7 linked regions of the Oryctolagus cuniculus genome follow. The protein of the gene in region 7 interacts with the protein of the main gene of each other region in a biochemical or structural test. Links are inferred from orthologs where the notes say so. Each region holds a gene or a part of one and is shown on either strand. Other genes may lie near its edges.

What was found.
Region 1: the proteins of ERBB2 (region 7) and SHC2 form a complex in vitro, tested with the Homo sapiens proteins (2 studies listed by BioGRID and IntAct, with this or other methods). The link is inferred for Oryctolagus cuniculus from reciprocal best matches to the Homo sapiens genes ERBB2 and SHC2.
Region 2: the proteins of ERBB2 (region 7) and SHC3 form a complex in vitro, tested with the Homo sapiens proteins (2 studies listed by BioGRID and IntAct, with this or other methods). The link is inferred for Oryctolagus cuniculus from reciprocal best matches to the Homo sapiens genes ERBB2 and SHC3.
Region 3: the proteins of ERBB2 (region 7) and PTPN11 form a complex in vitro, tested with the Homo sapiens proteins (2 studies listed by BioGRID and IntAct, with this or other methods). The link is inferred for Oryctolagus cuniculus from reciprocal best matches to the Homo sapiens genes ERBB2 and PTPN11.
Region 4: the proteins of ERBB2 (region 7) and MATK form a complex in vitro, tested with the Homo sapiens proteins (2 studies listed by BioGRID and IntAct, with this or other methods). The link is inferred for Oryctolagus cuniculus from reciprocal best matches to the Homo sapiens genes ERBB2 and MATK.
Region 5: the proteins of ERBB2 (region 7) and BLK form a complex in vitro, tested with the Homo sapiens proteins (2 studies listed by BioGRID and IntAct, with this or other methods). The link is inferred for Oryctolagus cuniculus from reciprocal best matches to the Homo sapiens genes ERBB2 and BLK.
Region 6: the proteins of ERBB2 (region 7) and GRAP2 form a complex in vitro, tested with the Homo sapiens proteins (2 studies listed by BioGRID and IntAct, with this or other methods). The link is inferred for Oryctolagus cuniculus from reciprocal best matches to the Homo sapiens genes ERBB2 and GRAP2.

Annotation. Positions count from the first base shown.
Region 1 is NC_091447.1:58,293,981-58,297,154, forward strand, and holds part of SHC2 (SHC-transforming protein 2), read right to left. Parts: intron 2,105-3,174; coding exon 2,038-2,104; intron 831-2,037; coding exon 684-830; intron 1-683. UniProt on the Homo sapiens protein: Signaling adapter that couples activated growth factor receptors to signaling pathway in neurons. Involved in the signal transduction pathways of neurotrophin-activated Trk receptors in cortical neurons.
Region 2 is NC_091432.1:137,843,197-137,846,696, reverse strand, and holds part of SHC3 (SHC-transforming protein 3), read left to right. Parts: intron 1-1,233; coding exon 1,234-1,529; intron 1,530-3,500. UniProt on the Homo sapiens protein: Signaling adapter that couples activated growth factor receptors to signaling pathway in neurons. Involved in the signal transduction pathways of neurotrophin-activated Trk receptors in cortical neurons.
Region 3 is NC_091452.1:9,714,961-9,719,072, forward strand, and holds the start of PTPN11 (tyrosine-protein phosphatase non-receptor type 11), read left to right. Parts: upstream 1-1,312; 5' UTR 1,313-1,548; coding exon 1,549-1,562; intron 1,563-4,112. UniProt on the Homo sapiens protein: Acts downstream of various receptor and cytoplasmic protein tyrosine kinases to participate in the signal transduction from the cell surface to the nucleus. Positively regulates MAPK signal transduction pathway. Dephosphorylates GAB1, ARHGAP35 and EGFR.
Region 4 is NC_091447.1:59,381,878-59,384,504, forward strand, and holds part of MATK (megakaryocyte-associated tyrosine-protein kinase), read left to right. Parts: intron 1-259; exon of another isoform or gene 260-470; intron 471-1,224; 5' UTR 1,225-1,271; coding exon 1,272-1,280; intron 1,281-1,480; coding exon 1,481-1,782; intron 1,783-1,857; coding exon 1,858-2,077; intron 2,078-2,359; coding exon 2,360-2,453; intron 2,454-2,627.
Region 5 is NC_091433.1:42,975,853-42,979,352, reverse strand, and holds part of BLK (tyrosine-protein kinase Blk), read left to right. Parts: coding exon 1-74; intron 75-1,466; coding exon 1,467-1,570; intron 1,571-3,500. UniProt on the Homo sapiens protein: Non-receptor tyrosine kinase involved in B-lymphocyte development, differentiation and signaling. B-cell receptor (BCR) signaling requires a tight regulation of several protein tyrosine kinases and phosphatases, and associated coreceptors.
Region 6 is NC_091442.1:116,101,251-116,105,265, forward strand, and holds the start of GRAP2 (GRB2-related adapter protein 2), read left to right. Parts: upstream 1-1,215; 5' UTR 1,216-1,448; coding exon 1,449-1,688; intron 1,689-1,801; coding exon 1,802-1,893; intron 1,894-4,015. UniProt on the Homo sapiens protein: Interacts with SLP-76 to regulate NF-AT activation. Binds to tyrosine-phosphorylated shc.
Region 7 is NC_091448.1:22,692,087-22,696,361, reverse strand, and holds the start of ERBB2 (receptor tyrosine-protein kinase erbB-2), read left to right. Parts: upstream 1-1,475; 5' UTR 1,476-1,696; coding exon 1,697-1,769; intron 1,770-4,275. UniProt on the Homo sapiens protein: Protein tyrosine kinase that is part of several cell surface receptor complexes, but that apparently needs a coreceptor for ligand binding. Essential component of a neuregulin-receptor complex, although neuregulins do not interact with it alone.

The sequences.
Region 1 (3,174 bases), on a different chromosome or scaffold from region 7:
TGCTGGTCCTACAGCACTGGCCACGGCTGGCGGCGCAACACTGCTCCCCCCACCCCGGACACCTGCCATCGCCACTGCCCACCAAGCAGAAGTCCCTCCGCGTCCTGCTTCCAGCGGGGACCACTGTGGTTTGGACACGCCCCTCAGAGCCAGCGTGCACCCAGCCTCACCGCCCAGCCCCGGGGCTCCCTCCCCTTACGCCAGCGTCCCCAGGCCTGGCAACAGTCAGAAATCTTGGGGTCGGGTGACACGGATGGGGGCTTCCAGCAGCATGGGGGACCCTAGGGGGCAGTCCTGAGGGACCCCAGCCCCCGCCACATCCAGCAGCAGTGTGGGGTTGCTGGGTCGCTGGGACTGAGTCACTTTGGGTATAGGAAGGCAGGCCCCATCCACCAGATGGACCTCCACCATCAGACTAGTCTCTTCCCGGAGGCGTGGGCCAGGCCGCCCTCATCAGACTGGGGAAACCAGAGATGGGGAGCCACGCCTCCCCAACAGACAGGGCGGGGGTCCAAGCCAGGTTTGGGCACCCCCAGTCTGGGGCCCATGCACCGTGAAACACCATGGGAGCGTGCCACAGCCTCTCCCACCCGACTGCAGACTCCCACAGAAGATCCCAGAGTTCCTCTGTGGGAGCCCACCAGGCCTCCCCCGTCAGACAGGGCCCCCCAGGCCCCACGTACGCATGTCGAACAGGTCCTTCTTGGGGCTGTCCTCGGCTGGGTCCTCAGGCTCTGCGCTGTCCAGCCCCTGGGTGTTGACGTACAGGTGCTCCTCATAGTCCCGCGGCCCCTGGGCGTCCGCCTGCACGTAGCCGTCCCCCGGCGGCGCTGGCGAGGGAGGGGAGTGCTGAGGTCAGCGGGGATGCGGGAGGGGCTCTGGACGGGGGGAGGCCGCCCCATCCGCTCGCAAAGGCCCAGGCACAGTGGGCTGGAAAGCCGCACAGGGGCCTGAAGTGACCGGAGAGGCCCAGGTGCCGGGGGGCCCTGCGCTCCTGTGGTCCGCCACTCCTGCCTGACTCCCCCACGTTCTCTCTGCCGTCTGCGGGCGTGGGGCCAAGGCGCAGCTGCATGGCCGGTCTCCCTGACCCCTGACTGCCGTGGGGTTGCAGGAAGAAGGGGTGCATGGGTGGGGCCTTCACCTATACAGCTCACGTGTGACCACTGCCGTGTCCCCAGCACACGTGTGACCGCTGCCGTGTCCCCAGCACACGTGTGACCTGGCTGCTGTGTCCCCAGCACACGTGTGGCCTGGCTGCCGTGTCCCCAGCTCACGTGTGACCACTGCCGTGTCCCCAGCACATGTGTGACTGCTGCCGTGTCCCCAGCACACGTGTGGCCTGGCTGCCGTGTCCCCAGCTCACGTGTGACCTGGCTGCCGTGTCCCCAGCACACGTGTCACCTGGCTGCCGTGTCCCCAGCACACGTGTCACCTGGCTGCCGTGTCCCCAGCTCACGTGTGACCACTGCCGTGTCCCCAGCACACGTGTAACCGCTGCCGTGTCCCCAGCACACGTGTGACCTGGCTGCCGTGTCCCCAGCACACGTGTGACCTGGCTGCCGTGTCCCCAGCTCACGTGGGACCACTGCCGTGTCCCCAGCACACATGTGACCGCTGCCGTGTCCCCAGCACACGTGTTACCTGGCTGCCGTGTCCCCAACACACGTGTTACCTGGCTGCCGTGTCCCCAGCTCACGTGTGACCGCTGCCGTGTCCCCAGCACACGTGTCACCTGGCTGCCGTGTCCCCAGCTCACGTGTGACCGCTGCCGTGTCCCCAGCTCACGTGTGACCGCTGCCGTGTCCCCAGCACACGTGTGGCCTGGCTTCCGTCCATGCATGTTCTGGGAGCTCCCCGACCAGGGAGGGGGGCGGGAGCAGTGAGCGACTTCCTGTGAGGCCTCCACCCTCCTGGGTGCCTGGAGCCATTTGACACAGGGACCCCAAGGGACCTGGGGGCTCAGATAGGAGCAGGGCGCCAAGCTGGGCTGAGGGGCCCCTGGCGGCCTTGGGGGTGTGCGGGTTCACCCAGTCCTACCTGCGCCGCAGGGCCAAAGGTCCCACTGCAGGCCACGGGCCTCCCTCCGGGCAAGAGAGGACGTTCCCTGAGAGAGAAGCATGGGGCCCCTCACCACCCACACACCCTGCCCAGCACCCAGCCTCCCTCCTCCCAGGGACACTGGGGGTCTCCGCCCTAGACCCTCCCTGGGCACCCAGAGCCCACCGGGGTCTGCATGGTGCCCACCACCCACCCTTCACCAGCCTTCTCCCCATGCAAGGGCAGCCCAGCCCTCCTGCCAAGCCCACCCTGGCCCCTCTGTCCACCATGCTGGTCACTCTGTCTGCCACCTGGCCCTCTGTTGTGCTGGCCCCACTGTCCACCACCCTGGCCCCTCTGCCCACCACCCTGGCCCCACTGCCCACCACCCTGGCCCCTCTGCCCACCACCCTGGCCCTCTGCTGTGCTGGCCCCTCTTCCCACCATCCTGGCCCCTCTGTCCACCACCCTGGCCCCGCTGCCCACCACGCTGGCCCCGCTGCCCACCACCCTGGCCCCACTGTCCACCACCCTGGCCCCACTGCCCACCACCCTGGCCCCTCTGCCCACCACCCTGGCCCTCTGCTGTGCTGGCCCCTCTTCCCACCATCCTGGCCCCTCTGTCCACCACCCTGGCCCCGCTGCCCACCACGCTGGCCCCGCTGCCCACCACCCTGGCCCCACTGTCCACCACCCTGGCCCCACTGTCCACCACCCTGGCCCCTCTGCCCACCACCCTGGCCCCTCTGTCCACCACCCTGGCCCCTCTGTCCACCACCCTGGCCCCGCTGCCCACCACCCTGGCCCCTCTGCCCACCACCCTGGCCCCGCTGCCCACCACCCTGGCCCTTCTGCCCACCACCCTGGCCCCGCTGCCCACCACCCTGGCCCCTCTGCCCACCACCCTGGCCCCGCTGCCCACCAGCCTGGCCCTTCTGTCCACCACCCTGGCCCCTCTGCCCACCACCCTGGCCCTCTGCCCACCACCCTGGCCCTGCTGTCCACCACCCTGGCCCCTCTGCCCACCACCCTGGCCCCTCTACCCACCACCCTGGCCCCGCTGCCCACCACCCTGGCCCTTCTGTCCACCACCCTGGCCCCGCTGCCCACCACCCTGGCCCCTCTGCCCACCACCCT
Region 2 (3,500 bases), on a different chromosome or scaffold from region 7:
TATTCAGAATGTGAACTGCGTCCCGGGAACTGTCCTGCCCAGGGGAAGACCGTTCCTGGTGCTTACGCTGTCCAGGGTAGGCAGTGTGGTCCAAAGCAATCCTCAGAATCCCTGGCACTTGCAAAGCACTGTACATTTTCCAGGGTGCTTTTAGCATATCCTTATTTGAATATCAAACATAGGGATTTAATCAGACACGCCTAGCTGCTTCTTTTGCCACTGGTAGAGCAGCAGTCTCACCCTTCTGATGCTCTGCACTGAGAAGTGTGTTCCCAAGGGGATGAAGCCAACCTTGGTCTCAGGCACTCATGCAAGAGACTTTTCCACAGGGGAGCGAGTGAAGGTCAAAGGGAGGCAGAGCTCTAGCCTAGAGCAAGTCACGTAAGAGGCACTCAATACATGTGACTACAGAATGTTTGGTGCAGAGATTTTGAAATGAAACTTTGGTGAGTTTGGTTTATGTTTTGCATGGAATCAAAGCTTTGTGGCTTACTGTGTCCTGTAGCAGTGACAGGTTTTTATACAGAAATTGTTAGAGAGGTTGGCTGATGTTCCAGAGAGAGTAGATGGGACACAGTGTACATGGCCTCTTACAGTGCGCAAAAACGAAGTCTTTCTACAAAGCTAGACAAGAAGGAACCTGAGTCCTCGGCACCATGCACGCCTCCTGGCTGTCTGGGGAAAAAAAGCAGACTCATCAGAGAGAGTCACGACAAAATTTGGGCTGTGCTTCTAAATACATGTTACGCCAAGTCTTATCATGTTACCAGCCGTTTATTTTCCTTACTTTTTTTCTTTAAAGGTTTATTTATCCATTTGAAAGACAGAGTAGCAGAGAGAGAGAGAGAGAGAGAGAGAGAGAGAGATACAGAAACCTATCCACTTGTTCACTCCCCAAATGGCAGCAGTTGGATCTGGGCCAGACTGAAGCCAGGAGCCAGGAACGCCATGCTAATCTCCCCCGTGGATGGCAGGAACTCAAGTACTTGAGCCATCATTTTCTGTGTCCCAGGCACATTGACAGGGAACTGGATAGGAAGCAAAGTAGCCAGGACGCAAACCAGTATTCTAATGGGGTGCAGATGTCCCAAGCAATGGCCTAACCCACTGCACCACAATGCCCACCCCTGTAGTGTTTAATGGAAGAATTGCCTTTGCATTTCTGTCTCTCACATTGTGTTTTTATCACTCGGCCTGCTCGGGACTGACTTTGCTGGCAAATGTTGTTGACAGAACCTTTTGAAGATGCTCTCAAGAATCAGTCCTTAGGGCCTGTGTTGAACAAGGCAGCCTCCGTGGAGTGCATCAGTCCTGTCTCACCCCGAGCTCCGGATGCCAAGATGCTGGAGACACTGCAGGCCGAGCCTTGGTACCAAGGAGAGATGAGCAGGAAGGAGGCGGAAGGGCTGCTGGAGAAAGATGGAGACTTCCTCGTCAGGAAGAGCACCACCAACTCCGGCTCCTTCGTCCTCACAGGCATGCACAACGGCCAGGCCAAGCACCTGCTGCTTGTGGACCCTGAAGGCACGGTGAGTGCACAGCCGTGCAGGTCAGGGCCTGCCACGTCCTGGTCACTCCTTCAGTAGAGCCCAGGGACAGGGGACTTAGGCCTGGTCAGGGCCCTGTGCTAGTTACAAAACTTGCAAAATCGTCATGGTCCAGTCTGAAAGCCTTGACACCCTTCTTTTTTTTTTTTAAATCTATTTTATTTGAGAGGCAGAGTTAGACAGATGACACGCTGATCCACTCCCCAAGTGCCCACGGCAGTTGAGGCTGGGTCAGACCGAAGCTGGGACCTGGGAACTCAGTCCCATCTCTCAGGCAGATGGGACCCGACTATCTGAGCCATCATCGGCAGCCTCCCAGGATGCACACTGAACAGAAGCTAGAATCAGGGACCAGAGCCAAGAATTGAACCCCGGCACTCTGATATGGGCAGTGACCATACCACCTGGCGGTTTAACCGCTAGTCCATTTCACGTCCTTTAAAATGAACAAGTACTGAAACACTGGATCACTATGTGATGTAAAAAAAAAAAAAATGTTGTGTCCCTAGTTCATGTCATATTCAAAAGTACCTTCAGCTGGGATTAAAACCTAATTATGAGGGCAGGTGTTTGGCTTAGTGAATGGGACGCTGGTTAAAATGTGTCCATTCCAAATGAGAGTAGCTGGGTTCAATGCCTGGCTAAGTCTCCCAGTTCCTGTTTCATGCTTTGGTTGCGCTCCTGAAGGTAGTGGTGATGGCTCAAGTAATTGGATTCCTGCCACCCACATGGGAGACATGGATTGAGTTCCTGGCTCTGGGCTTCAGCCCCCAGCTTATTCTGCCACTGTGGGCATTTGGGGAATGAAACACTGGATGGGAACTTTGTCTCTCTCTCTCTCTGCCTCTCAAAAAAAAGAAAAGAACCTAAGTGTGAAAGATGTAACTATAAAGCTATAAAGGGAGAACATTTTCTTCCAAGTAACATCACAGTGGGCAGGAAGTTTAGACCCCTGGGCTTTAGGTATTTGTCTCAAGTGCAATCACTGAGCTTTTTGTGTGAAGCCTGCAAAATGTGATGTAGCAGTAGATAAAGCCCCCAAGGATTAGTCTCTTCTCACTCAGAGGAGCAATGCCTTGTGACGCTGTTTGGCTATCATTGGCATTACAACTGGGTCCGAATAATTCCATGAGTTCAGCTGAATTTTCCATCTTCCAGTCAGTAGATACATTTGGCTTCATCCTGGCCACAGCCCAAGTAGTGCTGCTGGGTTTAATAAATGGAATGAAATCAACCTGGGCACTGAGTAAATTCCAGGACTGCTGCTTAAAACCTGGCATCCAGTGAAAACAGGAAGGCAGGGTAGGGTTGTCTGAGCAGGACTTGAGAACATGGCTTTTCCTGACTGATAGGTAGGGGTGGAACTGTAGCCTTCAGTGGGACTGGCACGCAAGGTAATGGTGGATGGGCTGGGGTGCAGGTGGGGCATCGGGGCAGGGTTACCGCCCAGACTGAACTGCCCATACAGCTCAGCTCTTGGCCCTCTGAACACCTGGCCCTACCTAGTTCCAGTGGGGCAGCTGCCTCGAAAGGACAAAATGTAAAGTCACCACTTCCCCCACGCTACCTGCTCTCGTTTTTCTTTTTCAGTATCTATGTCATGTGCAAAAATGTATATTTTTTTGTCTATGCTTTTTAGAAATCTGCAAATGTGATATTGTTCCCTTTCATTGTTTCCTTTTTCCTTGAAGCACACTGTGGGTTTCTGCCAATGGTGCTCTCTGCATTGGGTCATAGCTTTGGAGGGCTGCACAGGGTCCCCTCGTGCACACACTCCACGTCTCTCACTGAGCTCTCTTGAGAAAAATACCCAAGCTGCTGCCAACCTCCGTGCGTGTTTTCCCTATACCAGGGATGGTCTCTCTGGGCAGGTACTGGGGTGTTTTAGATCATAGGGTATGGGTACATTTAATTTCATAGGATTTGCATTTGCTTCCAGAATGGCTGGGCTTC
Region 3 (4,112 bases), on a different chromosome or scaffold from region 7:
CTTCCCGCTAATGCACACCCTGGGAGGCAGCAGCTTGGGTCCCCATCCCCCACGTGGGAGACCAGGATTGAAGTAGGCCTGGCTGTTGCAGGCATTTGGGGAGTGAACCAGCGGGGACAAGATCTGCCTCTCTGCCTTTCAGATAAATGAGAAAACAAAACCAAAAACACAGAACTTGTAGGCTGAGGTTGCTAAGATCTAACAGTGAAGAAGGAAAACGGAATTCATTGTAGTTTTGCTGTCACTCCTCTAACTGCAGAAGGTGGTATGGCCACGTAGCACAAGTGCTAAGAAAAAGCACCCAATGTGCGGGTGATCGGCTTGAACACAAAGTGTCTTCTGGGGCCGCTGCTTGCGATGCTTCTGCTCTGCGGCCAATCCGGCTCCCTGCTAATGCGCCTGGGAAAGCAGGGGAGGATGGCTGGGGAGGTGGGGTTCTGCCACCCCCGTGAGGGACCCCCAGGGAGCTCCGGGCGCCTGGCTTCCCCATGGCTGTCGCAGGTATTGGGCGGGGTGAGGGGGAGTGAACTGGCAGATAGATTTCTCTGTCACTCTGCCTTTCAAATAATAAATAAATAAATATCTCAGAAAAAAAAGAAAATGCCTTCTGATTGATGGCACTGTGTTGTACCAAAAAGCGCTGCGCTCACACAACAGCTTACGTTCATTAACTTTTTTTTATTGTGGTTAAACACATGAAACTTCATCATGTATGTACACGCGCAGAGTGTGGTTCGGGCACCCTGGGGGTCGTGGAGTTGAGCTCCACGCGGCCTTCCGCGTTTACAAACAGCACACAGACGTCTTTATAACCTAGCACGCACACCAGAATTCCTCTGCATTGTTGACTGTTTCCAGATCAGGGCTTTTCGGACTTTTGGTTCACGAAGCCACGGTTTAAACCAGGGCTCAGCAGACGGAAAACACTCATCAGAAACGACTGCAACGCAGCTTGTGCCGCCAGACGGGCGCACGCCTGCCTGTTTTCCACGGTGAATCTTCACGGTAACGCCATGAAGAACGCATAGCCCTTCTTCACGCAAACGAAGGCATGGGGGGACGCTGGAGCTCGGAGAGACCACGTAGCTTTTGCAGCTTGCAGAGCCAACGAGAGGGGCGGCGACGCGGGGAGGGAGACGAACAGAACTCGGCTCGGCGTCTATGCGGCGACGGAAACTGACACGGCGTGGGCGGGCGCGATTGCGAACGCGCGCGGTGGCGGCTCCCGCGAGCCCCGAGACGCAGTCAGCGACCGCCTCTCGCTCGCAGCCGACGGGAAGCAGGAAGTGGCGGCGGGCGTCGCACGGATGACGTCACCGAGGCGCCGGCGGCGAAGGGCGGGGGAGGAGGCGGAGCCAGCCGGGCTTGGGGGGCGGCTGCACAGTGTCCGGGATCCCCCAGGCCTGGAGGGGGGTCTGCGCGCGGCCGGCTGGCTCTGCCCCACGTCCGGTCCCGAGCGGGCCTCCCTCGGGCCAGCCCGATGTGACCGGGCCCTGCGGAGCCTGAGCAAGGAGCGGGTCCGTCGCGGAGCCGGAGGGCGGGAGGAACATGACATCGCGGAGGTGAGGAGCCCCGAGGGGCCCCGGCGCGGGCCTGGGCCGGGCCCCCGCCGCCTCCGCCCAGCCGCGCCCGGGAGGGGGGCGTCCCGGCCGGGCCTCGGACCCCGGTCCCGGGCGAGGGGGACGGGGAGGGCAGGGTGGCTCCGGACCCCCTCGCCGCCCCCAGCCCGGGGCCCCAGCGCACCCCCACCCTCGGGTCCCCATTCATTTCCTGCCTCCCCGAGTTCCGGCTCCAGCGGCCCGGGGATGCCCGTCCGGCCGGGAGCAGGTAGAGGCGCCCGGAGAGCCGCGGCCGCCAGCGGCCCGGCTCGGCGCCGCATTCCTGACCCATTGCCTCATGAGAATTGCCTCATGGTGATTCCGAAATAACCCCGCTCTCCGGGGGAGGCTCCTGGGGCCCCGGGCGCCGCTGGGCACTCGCCGCCCCGGGGCCGCGCCGCCACTCGCGCGCCTCGGGGTGGGGTGGGGGGCTCCACTCAGGACCCCTGACCCTTGCATGTGCCCCTTTGCATCGCCTTCTCCCCCCCTCCGCCCCTCACGTGCCAGAAGTGGAAAAACTGACTGTGTGTGCAGCCGCTACGAGTATTTCCTTCCTCTGCGATCCTCGCTCTGGGAGATGGGCGGGAAGGGAGCTGGATCTCGCTACAACCTGGAAAACCAGGACCCATTTCACGGATGTGAAAACCGAGGCCCCGCAGGAGCGTGCGGGTCAGCAGGAAGGGGGAGTTTGCACGAACTAACGTTGACTCGCTTTGAGTCCAGACGCAGCCTTTTGAACTCCAGCAGTCCGCTGAGGTCGGTCCAGCTACCCCCGCTGTAAAAAAGCAGAAATCTGCGTTGCCTCCCACCGCTCAGTAAATGGTGGAGCCCGAGTCCAGTGCGGATCGCCGAGTTGCTATTATTTTATAACCGTCACGGGTCGTTTTTGCTGTTAAACAGTAGCGTGACCCGTGGTTCTCAGATAATGAGGCTGCTATTCTGCATCACTGCTCGTTGCTTGGGACTCACACATAAGACCTTTGTCTGTGCTTGCCCGTGGTTGTTCTGCGAGGGTCACCGTCCCAGGCATTGGAGAAGCGCTTTCAGGGGGTCGGGGCTGTTTGAACGAGAGATGCTTTCGGAATATTAGGAATGTCTGCTCGAGACGCACACACCTGCATGCATGCCATTCGTGCACGGACCTGGAGCAAAAGAGGGCAGGAAACGGAAAAGTGAAACTCGTGAGTGAGTGAGTGAGTGAGGGGGACAGGTCTGTCGGCAGGTGCTCCCAGACCGGGGGTGTCTAACTGCATGCTGCAGAACAGTGTGCGGCCCCAAACGTTCCACTTCTTTAGGGAGCTCCCACATGAAACAGTTGTCTGTTCTCTGATCTGTCAGGTAGTCATTGAGCCTTTTGTTCCTTGTGTCTGCTCTTTCAGACAAGTAAGGATCTGCTGCGTTGGGGGACAGAAAGACTTGGGGGCTGGGGCAGGGAAAGGGGCTGAGTCCCAGTAGACCCTGCATTGTGCTGCTTGTTAGTTTAGAAACGGGGAAGTGTGGGCATTGCCAAAGCAGCAAACGGTTGAAGTGACATTTGACATTTTTTTTTTTAAATGAGTGAAAGGAAGAGTGAGCTAGAGAGAGATGGGTTTTCCATCCTTGGGTTTACTCCCCAAATGCCCACGATAGCAGGGCTGACTGACCCCAAGTCGGGAGTCCAGAACTCGTTCCAGGTCACCACAGGACTCAAGCACTTGAACCACCATCCACTGCCTCCCGGGATGCACACTAGCAGGAAGCTGGGATCAGAGGCAGAGCCGGAATTCGAACCCAGGTTCTCCAGCATGGGATGCAGGCATCTTACTCACTGTGCCAAACACACTCCCAAGGTGGCGGTTTGAAACAGAGTGATTCCTTCTGCCTTCTGGCCCTGGTATTTCTGACTTGCTATTGTAGAAAAGAAGTGGGCGCCACCTAAAAGTCAGGGTCTGAACAAAACACACTTAGTTGGAAATTGTTGCTTTTTAGATTGTGAGTCAAGTTTTGGATTTTTAACCAGCTTTATTGAGGCATCCATGATGTGAGATAAATTACATATTGTTAAGTGTGTCTTCCCAAACTATTGATGTGTGTATCCACTTGGGACGTCATCACCACGTCAAGATAATGGACGTATCCATAACCCCTGTGAGGTTTCCTTGTGCTCTTTATAATCCCTTCTTAGGTCTTAGGCAGTCACTGTTCTGCTTCCTGTCACTGTGTGCGAGTGTGCATCTCCTAGGATTTTATATAAATGTCCTTCGTGTGTCCTCCTCTTTGGTGTGGCTTCTCACCCTCAGACAGGTATGCTGAGATTCGTCCATGTTACAGTGTGTCCCATAGTTCCAGAATTTTTATTGCTTAGTTGTAGAGTGTCCCGTTGTGTGGATACACTGCAGTTTGCTTATCCACTCTCCTGTTGATGGACACTTGACTGTTTGGCTGTCACAAATAAGAGTCTTAGAATTCTCACACACAGGTGTTCATACGGACGTGTGCCCGCAAGTGGAATGGCTGGATCATTTAGCAGAGGTT
Region 4 (2,627 bases), on a different chromosome or scaffold from region 7:
TGGGGGCCCTCTGGGCGTGGCCCCGCCCTGCCTCTCATGTAAATTTAAGAGAATTTTATTTCTTCAATGGGCCGGACTGAAAAGGCTGGACTTGTTGGCCTTTCCGGACGGGCAGCTCGCCCCTCCACCCCGCGCGAGCGGGCGGCGCCTGCCGGACCCCCGCACGCGGCCCCCGCAGGAGGAGCCGGGGACCGCGGGGGCGGGGCGGGGAGGGGCCGGCGGTGCGCGCGCGCGCGCGCGCGAAGCGGACCGCAGTGCGGCCGGCGCTAGGACCCGCGGGGGCCTCCCGGGCGCCGCCCGCCACCACCCCCCTGCTCCCCGACCGGCTCTCCCCCCCAGCCCCAAAATGAGGAAACGGAGCGACTTGCTCCAAGTTGTGCAGCCCGGAGCGCCTCGGGGTGCGCTGCCGGCTCGCGGGGACCCGCCTGGGGCCGGGCGTGGGGCGCGGCCCGGGGGCGTCCCCTGAGCAGGTGAGCGCGGCGGCCGGGGAGGGGGCGGCGGACCTGGAGGCGGGCGGAGCGGCGTCCCGGGGACCCCGGCTCGCGGGGGCGCGCGCGGGGCCGGCGGCGGTCGGACGCGGGCTGGGCTGGGTGCAGGGGGCGCCGGCGTGCCCCGTGCGCCCACGTGGAGGGAGGGCCTCTTGCGTGCGGCCGAGACGCCCGTGCGCCTACCGCCCAGGTGTTCGAGAGCGGGGCGTGGCGGGGCGTGGCGGGGCGGGGGCCCCACAGGTGCGCGCGTTCCCGGTGCGCGCCCTCCTGGCACCGGTGGCCGGCCCCTGGCGCCCCCGAGCCGCTGGGTTTGCGTGGGTTCTTCCTGGGCACCGGGTGCCCAGCCACCTGTGGCGGTGGGGGGAGGGGGCGCGTCGCCGCCCAGCGCGGGCGCCCGGGGATGGGGTGGGGGTCACGGGGCCGCGCTGCACCCCGGGGTCAGACCTTCGCGGGAATGACCTTGACTCATCCGCCCCCGACTCACAGAAGAGGAAGCGCCGGGCCTGGGCCCGGCCACTGCTCCCTGGCCAGCAGCCTGCGCCGCCCTGGGTGCCACGGAGTCCCCTGGGGGATCGTGGCAGAGTGAGGTCACGGCCGTGACCCTGCCGGGGGTACAAGTCCCTCGCCTCCGGGCCGGGTGGGGTGTGTCTTGGGGTTCTGGACCCTGAGCGGCGGCCGGGGCGGCTGCACTCCCGACCCCAGAGCGCGGCTCTGTCCCGTGCCCACCCCGCTCCAGGTGAGCCCCCGTCTCCTGGCCTGGCCTCGCTGCCCGTCTCAGCCAGGATGCCCACGGTGAGTGCCCGGCCTCGTGCCCCCGGCCCCAGCCCACGCCATGCCCGGGGACGGGGGTGCGGGACCCGGCGGCGCCGTCCCCCCGCCCCCAGCTCCGGGGTCCCCTCGCTCCCGTCCTGACTCGGTTCTCTCTCGCCCCCCGCCCCGGGTTTGCGCCCGTCCCCCTGCCCGCGCGTCTCCCGGCGTCCCGCCCTGGCCAGAGGCGCTGGGCCCCCGGCACGCAGTGCATCACCAAGTGCGAGCACTCGCGGCCCAAGCCGGGGGAGCTGGCCTTCCGCAAGGGCGACGTGGTCACCATCCTGGAGGCCTGCGAGGTAAGCGCGTGCGCGGCGGCGGGGGCGCGCCGCCCGGACCCCGCCCACGCCCGCCTCCCGCCTCCCGCACAGAGCAAGAGCTGGTACCGCGCCAAGCACCACGCCAGCGGCCAGGAGGGGCTGCTGGCGGCCGGCGCGCTGCGCGAGCGCGAGGCCCTGTCCGCCGACCCCAGGCTCAGCCTCATGCCGTGAGTGGGGCGGGGCGGGGGCGGGGCGAGCCCGGCCGGCCCCGCCCCGCCCGCTCTGACCCCGCCCCGCCGCAGGTGGTTCCACGGGAAGATCTCGGGGCCCGAGGCCGTGCGGCAGCTGCAGCCGCCCGAGGACGGGCTGTTCCTGGTGCGCGAGTCGGCGCGGCACCCCGGGGACTACGTGCTGTGCGTGAGCTTCGGCCGTGACGTCATCCACTACCGCGTGCTGCACCGCGACGGCCGCCTCACCATCGACGAGAGCGCGTGCTTCTGCAACCTCATGGACATGGTGGAGGTGCGCGCCGGGCCCCGCCCCCGGGCCAGGCCCCGCCCACCCAGCAAGGCTCCTCCCCCGCGCGCCTTGCCCCGGACAGGCCCCGCCCCTACAGGCTCCGCCTCCCCGGCCAGGAGTCCTCCCCCGAAGGCCCCGCCCACGTCCCGCCTCCCCACACGCCCCGGTCCCGCCTCCCGCCCCAGCCGGGCTCCGCCCCGCCTCCTCTCCCCGTTCCCATGGAAACCGGCCACCTCGCAGCCCGGGCGCCCCGACCGCGCCCGCTCACGGCCGCGCGCCCCGCAGCACTACAGCCGGACCAAGGGCGCCATCTGCACGAAGCTCGGGAAACCCCGCCGGAAGCAGGGCACGAGGTCGGCCGAGGAGGAGCTGGCCAAGGGTAGGCCCGCGCGCCCCGGCCTTCCCCCCCCCCCAGCCTCGGGGTCCCCTCCCAGCGCGGCTCCCTCGGGGACCCCCCAAGTCCTCGCTCCCTGGAGGTCGCCTTAGCGCGCACCCTCCCTGGCCCGGCCCAGCCTCGGGGTCCCCTCCCAGCGCGGCTCCCTCGGGGACCCCC
Region 5 (3,500 bases), on a different chromosome or scaffold from region 7:
TCGCTCGTCACGGGGAAAGAAGGCTACGTGCCCAGCAACTTTGTGGCCGGAGTCGAGTCCCTGGAGGTGGAAAAGTAGGTGGCCAAACGGAAGCCCCCTCAAACCGGAGGTGCCTTTCCCGCTTCTGCTTTGTAGGCTGCCACGCAGGGCAGGGCCGGAAAGCTGGCTAAACAGTGACCACAGGGCCCAGCCAGAAGGGGCGGGAGTGGGTTAACTCCTGGTCCACACAGCACTTAACCCGCAGTGTGATACAGAGGGAGCCACACCGCCCCCACCCCTCATCAAACACGACAAGGGTTCCCTCTCTCGCATCCCGGGATGGAGGCCTGCCCAGCGTGACCCTGCAAGCTCACGGTGAGGCTCTCTGGCCAGCAGGCAGGCCCCACTGCCTCCAGGGGCAGGCCTCTAGGGCTCAGCGCCCAGGGGGCTCCCAGGATTCGGGCCCTGTTCCGAAACAGCTTCCATCAGCAGCCCCATGGCCCACATTCACCAGAACCATCTGTGCCGGTCAGTGGGGCCTGCCCATGAATGGCGCGCACAACGCCTGGAGCATGCGCACACGATGCCTGGAGCATGCGCACACGATGCCTGGAGCATGCGCACACGATGCCTGGAGCATGCGCACACGATGCCTGGAGCATGCGCACACGATGCCTGGAGCATGCGCGCACAGCGGGCTCCATCCAAGCCTGGGGAAGGGGCCGTAGCGGGGAACGCGCAGCTGCTCCTGCCCTGCCTGGCTGGGCGCTCTGGCCTGCGGCTTTCCCCGAAGAACAGCTAGTGGGGCCCTGGGGCGTCTCGGTGCTGGACAGTCCTGTGCCGAAGGGGCACAGCTGGAATCCAGGCTGGGGAGTCTCCTGCCATCTGCCTCCTTCAGACACAGACCCCAAGGGTGGGCATGTGTCCACCCTGCGGAGCCAGTGCTGTAGGGGACAGTGATGGATCGGGTGCATTTTTCCTGAACAAAACAATGGCCACCCAAATAAAGTCCTGGTTTCATTTCGGTCCAGCAGCTGATGGGAAGCGAGACGGGATGAGCAAGCTCCAAGACACGGAGAACAGCTCAGGACTAACTCATCTCTAAGGATGGCTTAGGAGGGAAGCTGGAAAAAAATATTCCCAGGGACGGGGATTGGTGACATGGGTGACGCCATCTGCGCTGCCGGCATCCCATATGGGTACCGGTTCGTGTCCCAGCTGCTCCACTGCTGATCCAGCTCCCTGCTATGGCCTGGGAAAGTACTGGAGGATGGCCCAAGCGCTTGGGCCGCTGCACCCACATAAGAGACCAGGATGAGGCTCCTGGCTTCAACCTTCCTGGGTCTTGGCCATTGCAGCCATTTGGGGAGTGAACCAGCGGATGGAAGATGTCTCTGACTTTCAAAAAAAATTAAATAAATCTTATAAAAAAAAAAAACTTGCCAAGCAAGGGGACCCTGAGGCTCACTTGTCTTGCTGTTTTTCAGGTGGTTCTTTAAGTCAATCAGCCGGAAAGAGGCCGAGAGGCAGCTTCTAGCTCCAGTCAACAAGGCCGGCTCCTTCCTCATAAGAGAGAGCGAAACCAGTCAAGGTAAGCCTTCCTGGCCCCTGCCCTGGGGCCCTGGGAAGCCCCCCCCCCCATAGACCTAGTGTGTGCGGTGAGTGGGGAAGGGTCCCTGCTCAGAGAACCTGTAGCCTCCGAGCCCTCCCACTTCCGGCCCTGCTGGGCAGCTGACTTTGAGGCTGTGCACACGAGCAGCTCCCCCAGGCTGGACACCACCCAGACAACGGGCAGCAGAGGCCAGGGGGAGACCCGCCCCCTACCCTGACCGTGCAACCCGGTCAGCAGGAAAGTGAGGCTAGTGGGGTCTGTGGAGGCAGCATGGACCCCAGAGCCCTCAATCCCCAGCTGGGATGTGGAATCCAAAGATGGGCAAGCTCCATGATCCTTGAGAGGCCCCTCAGCCAGAAGCCGGCAGGTGACATGGTCTGGGAGCTGGCCTGTGCCTAGAAGGGGACAGTGACTATGGAAAACAGAATTATGACACTGGGTCTCCAAGTCGAATCCTGTAACTGAGCAAAACATGGCTGCCACCCCTGGGCTTCCCTCATTTCCTCTACCGACTTAAGCTTTCTTTCCTTTTTTTTTTTTTTTTTTTTTTTTTTTTGATGTTTATTTATTTATTTATTTATTTGAAAGAGACAGACAAAGCTTCCATCACTGGTTCACTCCCCAAATGCCTACAACAGCCAGGGCTGGGCTGGGACCACAGCCAGGAGCTAGGAACTCAAACCAGGTCTGCTTTGTGGGTGGCAGAGACCCAAGTACTTGAGCCATCACCTGCTGCCTCCCAGAGTGCGCATTAGCAGGCCGCTGGAACAGGGAGCAGAGCTGGGCCTGGCCCCCAGGCACTCTGACACCGGATGATACGGGCGCCCAACCAGCAGCTTAACTACCTTGCCGAGCGCCAGCTCCTCTTTCGTTCTTCATGTTTGTTGTTGTGAAATACAAAATACGTGTAACACCACGTAAATCATCAATGAGTAAATAACTATAAATTATACAGTGTGATGAAAAGTAAGCCCCTCTGTAACCACAGCTGAGAGAGAACATTCCAGATGTACAGTTGTGGTCGTCCCCTGCCTCCTGGGAGGTTAGCAAACACTGCCCTGGCTTGCATGCAAATCCTCCCTCGATTTTTGTTTTGTTTTGTTTTACCACCCACATTGTGTCCATATTGAGTTTATGCTCGCGAATTGTGCCATTTTCATTTCCATGTGTCTTGCTCTTTCCACTCCACCTTGTGAGAGCCTGCATCCGTTTGCTAGGACAGCCATAACAGAGCAGCATGCACCATCCCCCTGCCCTGGGGCTCCAAGTCCAAGTCCAAGGTCAAGGTGTGGGCAGGGTTGGTCTCTCCAGGAGTGCTCACACAGCCTTCCCTCTGTGCCTGTCACATCCTGATCTCTTCTCATGAGAGCAGCACTGGTATTGAATTAGCGCCTGCCCATAGGCCTCATGTTAATTCATCACCTCTCTAGAGACCCAGAATCCCACTATAGTCACGTCTCCAGCTGCTGGGGTTAGCACTTGGACGTGAGACTTTAGGGACACGGTCCATCCCATAATAGATGCCTTCATCTGTTGAGCTGTTGAGAATCCAGTGCGTGAGAATCCCAAACCAGCCTATCTGTGTGAAGGTTGGTCAACATTGGGTTGTTTCCATTTGGGGGCTGTGAGGCAGGTACTGCTACGAATCTTATTTAGCACGCACACACAGCAAGACCACGCAGTCAGCGTCCCCAAGTCACAGCCAGCACATGGAGACTGGGAAGGGAGCTGCCCCGGCAGGGGCGTGCCGGCTAGCCAGTGCAGGCTGCAGGACCTCCGTCTGCCTCCCAAGCCCCAGTCTGCCGGCCGCCTTCCCCCGTCAGAAAATCCCAGTCTCCACAGCGCCCAAGTCTGGGGCAGCCTACACAGCACAGAGGCAGAGGCCGGGTTTTGTGAACCTGAAGCTGGC
Region 6 (4,015 bases), on a different chromosome or scaffold from region 7:
ACGGTCGCATTTGATGTCAGAATCTCTGAAGCGGGCTGTTCTCAGCAGTTCTCAAGCTCAGATGTGGGCCGCACTTTCAGTTCTTCAGAACCCACGGTGGCGCTCGGCACACACACGCAGAAGGCGGCACAGGACTCGTGGGCCCCGCCGGGGCCTGCGGAGCGGGAGGGCAGGGGCGTCTTCTCAAAGAGGAGCCGCGTGCTCTCCTGATGTCCACGCGGGCTGCGCGAGGCCCCGGGAGGGCTGATGGACTGGCCCGGGATCACACAGCTCGCGGCACAGCCAGGCCGGGGGACGCTGCGTGCGCGGCTTCCCCGGGACTCCGACATCAACGCCGCCCCTCTGGGAGGCCGGGCACCCCAGCAGCTCGCCGCTCCTCCTCCTCCTGCGCTTTCTCTCCGAGAGAAGCCATCGCCCCCTGCGCAGTCTCCCAGGCTGCAAGCCGGCGCCGCCCCAGAGCCCCCTTCTCCCTCTGCCCCCCGGGAATGTCCCCAAACGCTGCCGGTCTCGATTCCTGCCTCAGAAATGTGTCCTCGCCCCTCCCGGGCCCCGGCCGCTGTCCTCTCTCGCCTGGAGGGCAACACGCGGCCTCCTGGCCCTGTGTCCCGACTCACACGCGGCTCCCGCTTCCCTCTGAGGCTCCCCCCGTCCTTTCTCTGCCCAGCACCCCTGAGTGGGCCCGTAAGTTTCAGGGTAAGACTCCAGGCTCTCCAACACGGCCCACAGACCGCCATTCCTGGATTCCCACCCCCAACCCCAGCCGGCCTGCGTGTTCCGTTCCCAGGATGCACCACGCCCCTCGTGACCCGGAAGTGGATCCTCGGCCACCTGCCTTTCCCCGAGTGATTTCTGGCGCCGCCGCCCCCGGGCAGGTGGCCGCTGCTCCCGGCTTTCCTATCCGTCTTCCGGCACCTCCTTTATCACAGGGCTCCTAGCCGTGACGACATTTCTGCCACGGGAAACAGACGCTCAGGGTGGCTTAATCGTGACGGAGATGGACGGTTCCTCCCGCGTGCAGGAGCAGGCGGGCTCCGGGTGGTCCGTTCAGGGGCGCCGCGAGGGTCTTGCCGGCTTCTGCTCCGTCGGCCTCGCCGGGAGCTGTGCACGGCGATGTCGCGCGCTTCAGATGCTCCCGTGGGCGCGGCACCGTCTCTTCCCGCCGCGAGCTCGTTTTCTGAAGTAACCGGGAGCCACGCAGAAGCAAGCCTAGTGGGTAGTACAGCCACGAAGGCAGGGATCGCTCGTGGGGCGGCCGGATAGCCGCGAGACAGAACTCTCGCTTTTGCTGGGCGCAGGCTCGCAGAGCAGGCTCAGGAAGGGCATCTCGACGGTCCTGAATTCTGCCCCAAAAATCGTTCCGTGAAACCAGCCGGGTAGAACTCGTGCTTCCGAAGCTGGCCCCATTCCGGTGTTTACGTCTAAAAAATAAAAACCAGTTCGGTTTTTAAATGTTTCCTGGCTACCTGGAAAAGAAGAAGAGCAACAATGGAGCGGCTGTTTGCCTTGCCACCCTCCGCCCAGGCGCTGAAGATCCCAGACAAAGGAGTTTCCCAAAACACACGGGGAAAAGGGGGGGTGGGGGTGGGAGGCACGAGTCTGCAGCAATAACTCGGGGTCCAGAGAAGCGAATCTGCAGACACAGACCCACCGCTGCCTCCGCGGGCCTCGGGAGCTTCCCAGAGCTGCTGGTAGCTCCTTTCCCTCCACCTGGCAAAGGGTGCTCTGGGCTCGGCCCCTCTGTCTGGCTGTTCTGGGGTCCTCACTGCAGTGTCTTTGTCCTGTGTCCTCTCCCTGCCTGTAGGTACTCAGCAACCAAGAGGAGTGGTTCAAGGCGGAGCTGGGGAGCCAGGAAGGCTACGTGCCCAAGAACTTCATAGACATCCGATTTCCCGAGTAAGTCGGCCGGGCCTGCCCACACACACTCCCTTCCCTCTCCCGGGCGGGCAGAGGTGCCGCCACCAAGGGCTGCCTCTGGCGCTCCCTCCAGAGCTTCCAGAAGGCCGGGCTGGGAGGGAGATCTGCATCTGTTGGCTTCCATGCCACGTGGCTGTGTAGCCTATTTTAAGTTCTGACAAAGTGAGTTTGTCAGCTAGAATCTGTGATGAGAGCCGGCCCAGGGTTTCTGGGATTTCCCACGGGGGCGCTGTTGGCCAGGGCTCTGCTCTCCCTCCTGAGCACGGATCCCAGCCCGGCCTGGCCCTTGGTGCCAGGTGGGTGTGTGGCTCTGCAGCCTGCTGGCTCCGGAGAGAGAAGTCGGGGAGAGCAAAGGGAATTCCCTTCCTAAAGAGGAAGTGAGAAGTTGAGATTGGGCCTCCTTTGTCTCAAGAATTGACCACAAGGGTTAGATAGAAATCTGGTCTTGTGTCACAGCCGGGCCGTGGCCTGAACAGCGGAGGTTTGTTAGAAAGCCAGAGCGGCGCAGCAGGGCTCCCGGTGACCCCGCGCTGACCCCTGGGCCAATGCGGGGGCCACCTGACCTTGGCTGGGCCCCGGATGCTGCCTGGAATCCGCCCCTGGCCACGTCGTACCTTCTCTGGACTCAAACCTGCAGCCCCTCCACACCTCACTGGGACCATGGACGGTGCCAGAAGAGAGGCTGCCTGACCCCGCCCCTCCTGGCCCCCACACCCCGCCTCCTGGAGCTATACTCAGACTCCGCCTTCCCTGCAGCTGCCTGGAAGGGGCGGCTCCGAGCAGGCCCCCCCCACAGCAGCCCTCTCCCTGTGCCGTCCCCCCCACAGCAGCCCTCTCTCTGTGCCGTGCTCCCCCCCACAGCAGCCCTCTCCCTGTGCCGTCCCCAACACAGCAGCCCTCTCCCTGTGCCCCCCCACAGCAGCCCTCTCCCTCTGTGCTGTCCCCCCCACAGCAGCCCTCTCCCTGTGCCGTCCCCCCCACAGCAGCCCTCTCTCTGCGCCGTCCCCCCCCACAGCAGCCCTCTCTCTGCGCCGTCCCCCCCCACAGCAGCCCTCTCCCTGTGCCGTCCCCCCCACAGCAGCCCTCTCCCTGTGCCGTCCCCCCCACAGCAGCCCTCTCCCTGTGCCGTCCCCCCCACAGCAGCCCTCTCCCTGTGCCGTCCCCCCCACATCAGCCCTCTCCCTGTGCCGTCCCCCCCACAGCAGCCCTCTCCCTGTGCCCCCCCCACAGCAGCCCTCTCCCTCTGTGCCGTCCCCCCCACAGCAGCCCTCTCCCTGTGCCCCCCCCACAGCAGCCCTCTCCCTCTGTGCCGTCCCCCCCACAGCAGCCCTCTCCCTGTGCCGTCCCCCCCACAGCAGCCCTCTCCCTGTGCCGTGCTCCCCCCCACAGCAGCCCTCTCCCTGTGCCGTCCCCCCCCCACAGCAGCCCTCTCCCTGTGCCGTCCCCCCCCCACAGCAGCCCTCTCCCTGTGCCGTCCCCCCCACAGCAGCCCTCTCCCTGTGCCGTGCTCCCCCCCACAGCAGCCCTCTCCCTGTGCCGTCCCCCCCCACAGCAGCCCTCTCCCTGTGCCGTCCCCCCCACAGCAGCCCTCTCCCTCTGTGCCGTCCCCCCCCCCAAAGCAGCCCTCTCCCTGTGCCGTCCCCCCCACAGCAGCCCTCTCCCTGTGCCGTGCTCCCCTCAACAAACACCAGGGCTTCATTTTCCCTTCTTACCAGGCTACCGACCAACAAAACCCAAAGCCCTCCACCTCGGATCCCCTCCTGGCTTCCGCCCTTTTCTCTCTCAACTCCTCTGCCATTGTCTCTGCAGCCCCCAGGACGCCTTCAAAACCGGTCCTGTCAAGGTCAAGGTCACAGTGGTGGCAGGTCCCAGGGTGGGAGGGCTCCCTCCCTGCCTCAGAAGCCTGGGTGTCCAGACCCGGTCTCTGCTCCTCCTCTTTGCTCGCCCCGTCCCTGCCGCTCCTCAGTCTCCGACGCTGCCTCCTCCTCACCTCCCCGCACTCCTTCAGGTCTAGAACAGAGACAGACAGACAGACAGACAGACAGGGCTTCCGTCTGCCGGCTCATTCCCCAAATGCCTGCAGCGGCAAGACGGACCCAGG
Region 7 (4,275 bases):
ACAGTGTTGGCCTCTCCATCACTTTCTTTTAAAAAAAAATATGTATTTATTTATTTGAGAGAGAGAGGTTTATTTTTCATCTGTTGGTTCACTCCCCAAATGCCCACAACAGCCAGGGTTGAGCCAGTCCAAAGCCAGGAGACTGGAACTCCATTCAGGTTTCCTGTGTGGGTGATAGGAACCCAAGCACTTGAGCCATCATCAGCTGCTTCCCAGGCACGTTAGCAGGAAGCTGAATCGGAAGCATGGTGCAGCCAGGACTCTGATGTGGGAGTCCTGCCATCTCTCTCCAACTCTTTTTTAAAGAGAGTCTCTCAAATTTTATAAACCCCAGACCCCACAAAACCTACATCTCTCCCACTATGAGTAAATCTGGAAGTGTGTACTGAGCAATCTTCATGTGCCAAGTGCCGTCTGAGTGGCTGATATGTGATGGAGCCGCGACTTGAACACAGGGCTCCCTGATTCCAGAGCCCGCTGTTCCCAGCCTGCCTCTCTCAGTGCTCAGCCCACGACGCAGGTTAGGAAACGTCCGTCTGCTTCTCTCTCCAGACCCCAGAGCAGCGTCTCACTCCTCTTGACCCGTACTGATGTGCTCTTGGGCTCCGGGGTGGAGTGGGGGGGCATTCAGAATTGCCAGATTTAGCAAATAATAATAAGGGTGCCCCGTAAATCTGAATCTCAGATAAATAATGAGCAATTTGTTAGGATACAATGTCCCATGTCGTATTTTGTCTTTCAGCAAAAATCGGTCTTCTTTCCAGGCGCACTGCCACCACGGAGGTTTAAGAGTAGGGGCCGGAATTCAGGCGGGATGGATGCAGGGTGGAGGGGTGGCGCTCAGCAGGCGGGAAAAGGCGAGGAACAAACCTGGGAGGGATTGGGTTCTGCGCGTAGCCTTACGGAAAACAAGAACGCTCGGCCAGGGACTGAAGCCCTGCTGCCTCCGATTTCACTGTCCCCTCCCAAATGTGTAGGTCTTGCTTCTCAGCCCGGACCAGATCCCTACAACAGCCGAGGAGCTGTCCAAAGGGCTCCTGGAGGCCGCACCTGGACCCCAGCTCATCCCCGCTCCCAGGCCGGCAGGTTTACTTGAGTGCGCCGGCGGGCAAGCCATTATTCGATACCACAACAAACAGGCGCGGGACGCGGTAGGATGCAAACTCCCCGGGAATGTTGCAGATCTAACCCGAGGCTTCGGAGAGACCGGAGGGTGGCAGCCTGGAGAATTCGCCCGCACTCCGGGGCAGGCGGCGGGATCCCTCTGCCCGGCTCTGCGTGAGGACTGCTGCGGGCAACCCCGGCGTCCGGGCGCTGGCACGGACGCACCCAGGCCTGCGCCGGGAGAGGGAGAAAGCGAAGCTGGAGTTGCCACTCCCAGACTTGCTGGAATGCAGCGGCGGGGGTGGGGGGGCGAGCCGTGAGCGCGCCTGCTCCCAATCACGGGAGGAGGAGGAGGAGGAGGAGGAGGAGGAGGAGGAGGAGGAGGTGGAGGAGGAGGAGGTGGTGGAGGAGTAGGATTGCTTGAGGAAGTACGAGAATGAAGTTGTGGAGCTGAGATTCCCCTCCAGCGCGAGCCGAGAGACTAGGAGTGCCCGCCGGCAGCCGCGCGCCCGGCCCCCACCCCCTCGCCGAGCCCCGCGCACTCCCAGCCTGGTCCAGCCGGAGCCATGGGGCCGGAGCCGCAGTGAGCACCATGGAGCTGGCGGCCTGGTACCGCTGGGGGCTCCTCCTCGCCCTTTTGCCCCCCGGAACCGCGGGCACCCAAGGTGGGTCTGGCGTGGGGAGGGGATGGGGTAGTGAAGGGCCCCCCCCGCAGCCTGGGTCTCCGGTCCGAAGTCCCAGGCTGGCGGGGGCCGAGGAGCCCGACGAGCCCTCCTCGCCGAAGTTTCGTTAAGTTCGGGCTTTCCCGGCGCGGGGCGCTCGGGCCGGGAGGGGGCGAGAGAAGGTGGAGGCGGGGTTGGGGGCGACCCCCACCGAAGCGGCTCGAGATCGCCCCTTTCTAGGGCCCGGGCGCTTGCCGGACTCCCAGCGGGCTCCGGGGACTTGTCAGAAAAGTTCTCCGAGATTGCGCCCAAAGTTTTCGCCGAGGTGGATTGCGGGGTGGGTGTGGGAGTGTGCGTGCGCGCGCGCGCGCGCGAGCGTGTTTCCCCGCGCCGAGCCCCCGCCAGCCTTCTCAAAGCCTTTCCAGTTGGCAGCCTCCGCCTCCGGACTGGACTGGGCTGGATTCCTTGGGGGGGGGTCCTCTCTGCCCTGCCCCTCCCCCCTCCCCGCCCCCTCCAGCCGCCCGCGTTTGAGTACCGGCTTCAGGCGGGGCCGGGGGTGAAGGGGGAGGTGGGCAGAGCAACCTGCCCCGCGGGCCGGGGAGAGTGGCCTGGCGAGCTGCACGCGTCCCTGGCGCTGGGGTCTGGGCGAGGGGGAGGGGCCCTGGTTTGTTTTGAGCCAGTTCCTACAGGGCCTGCGGGCTTTGTGACTTGTGGAGAGCCTGGACCAGAGAGGGGTGAGGGTGGGTTTCCTGGTTTGGAGAGTTCCACGGGCGGCATATCGGGGCAGCTGTGGCCAGACGGGGGTATCCCAGGGGCCGGGTGCTTCTGCTGTCTTTTTGCTTCCTGCTGTGAGGGGACGGGGAGGGTGAGTGGAGAGGTGTGTATCCCGACCCTGCTGTCCGCCTGCACGAAGTCAGGATAAAAGCTAACACACACTCTGTGCCCAGTACACTCTGCTGGGCCCGTGGGTGGTGTTTTGCATGCATTCCCTCCTTTCGTCTTCCTAACAGAAGGCCACGTTGCAGGTGAAAAACGGGGCCCAAAGAGGGAGGCGGCTGCTGGCTTGTGGTGGGGCTCACAGCCGGCCCAGGGCAGCACAAGCCTTAGCCGCACATTGAAAATGATGATTGGGGTCCACCTGAGCCGGTGGGGGGCACTGCCCCTTGCATCCCTGGGTGAGGGTGCTGTGGGAGCAGGGTGAGGTGGCCCCTGGCACTCAGGGAGTCTGGGGAGCTGTGGGTGGCAGTGCATCCGTGGTGCTCTCCCGGGTCCTCGCCAGGGCCTTGCCGCATTGTCTGCGAGCTGTCAGTGTGTGTCTGGGGCTGTGCCAGGTGGTCCTGAATTATGGTCTGTGTTTGTGTGTCTGGGCCTTGTGTTGCCAAACATCAGTCTCCCTGATGACTTGGGGACGCAGGCTGAACTCTGCCCTCTCCAGGAACGCCCTCAAGGTGCTGGGCCAGATCTGTTGTAAATAGCAGGAGGTGGCCCCATGCCTGCTGGGTGGCTGCAGAGGGAGGTCCCTGTCCTCCCTCCCTCCTTCCCTGGGCGTGCAACTTCACCTCTGCCCATGGCGAGGGGCCGCCCTCCTCTCCTTGCCTGGGAGCAGAGCAGGCGGTGGCGGCTGCGTTGCTGGGGTAGACTCCTCTTGACCGGGGCCTCCTCAGGTCCTCACGCTGAGTTACAGAGAGACACTGAGTGTGTTGCATGGGGAATGGTTACAGAGGCAGGCACATCCCACCCAGCAGCCAGGTTCTACCCCAGGGCTGTGGGCTGGGGCAGGGATGTTGGAAGGGGAGGCCCAGGGGCAAGGGCCAGGGGGCCAGGATTTTGCTGAGATCTTTTTCAGCGGTCAAGATTTGTAAATTGCACCAAACGCATCCTTTTCACTGTTCATTCATATTTTAATTCCAGTGTGATCTTCCCAAGAACCTCCTTCCCTCTTTCTACTAAAAGTGTTCATTTTCATGTCCAAGAAAAAAAAAAAACAATAGCAAAGAAAGGCTCAAATGTAAAAAGAAAAATATATTGACTTTCAAGGTCAAATACAATGCGCATTTTCTCCTGAACTGGGATCACCTGTACTCCTGCTGGATGAAACCCTTGCCTCAAGTTTTTAAGAAGTTGCAGTGCGCTTCCTGTAGGCAGGTGCTCAAGTGCAGATGGCTCCGTTCCGTCTCTAACAATCCTGAGACAGGGGCACAGGTGGAAAACTGAAGTTCAGAGAACCCACGGACTTGGCCAAGGCTCCTTAGCCAATGAAGAGGCCTTAAGAGTTGGTCAAAGTCCACACAACAGGAATGGCTTGACCCAAACCTTAGCCTAAAGGGATAGGGATGCTGTTCTGTTTTGGGGTGGACCTCCGAACCTGGCTAGGGGAAATGGGGCTGAGCTGGGGGGCCTGAGGTCCCCTCCCGGCTGTGGAGTCCTCTCCCTTCCTGTCCAGCCCATGCCTGCCTTTCTCCTGGGCCCTCTCAGCATCATAGGGGACTTAGGGCAGGAGGGTGTGGAG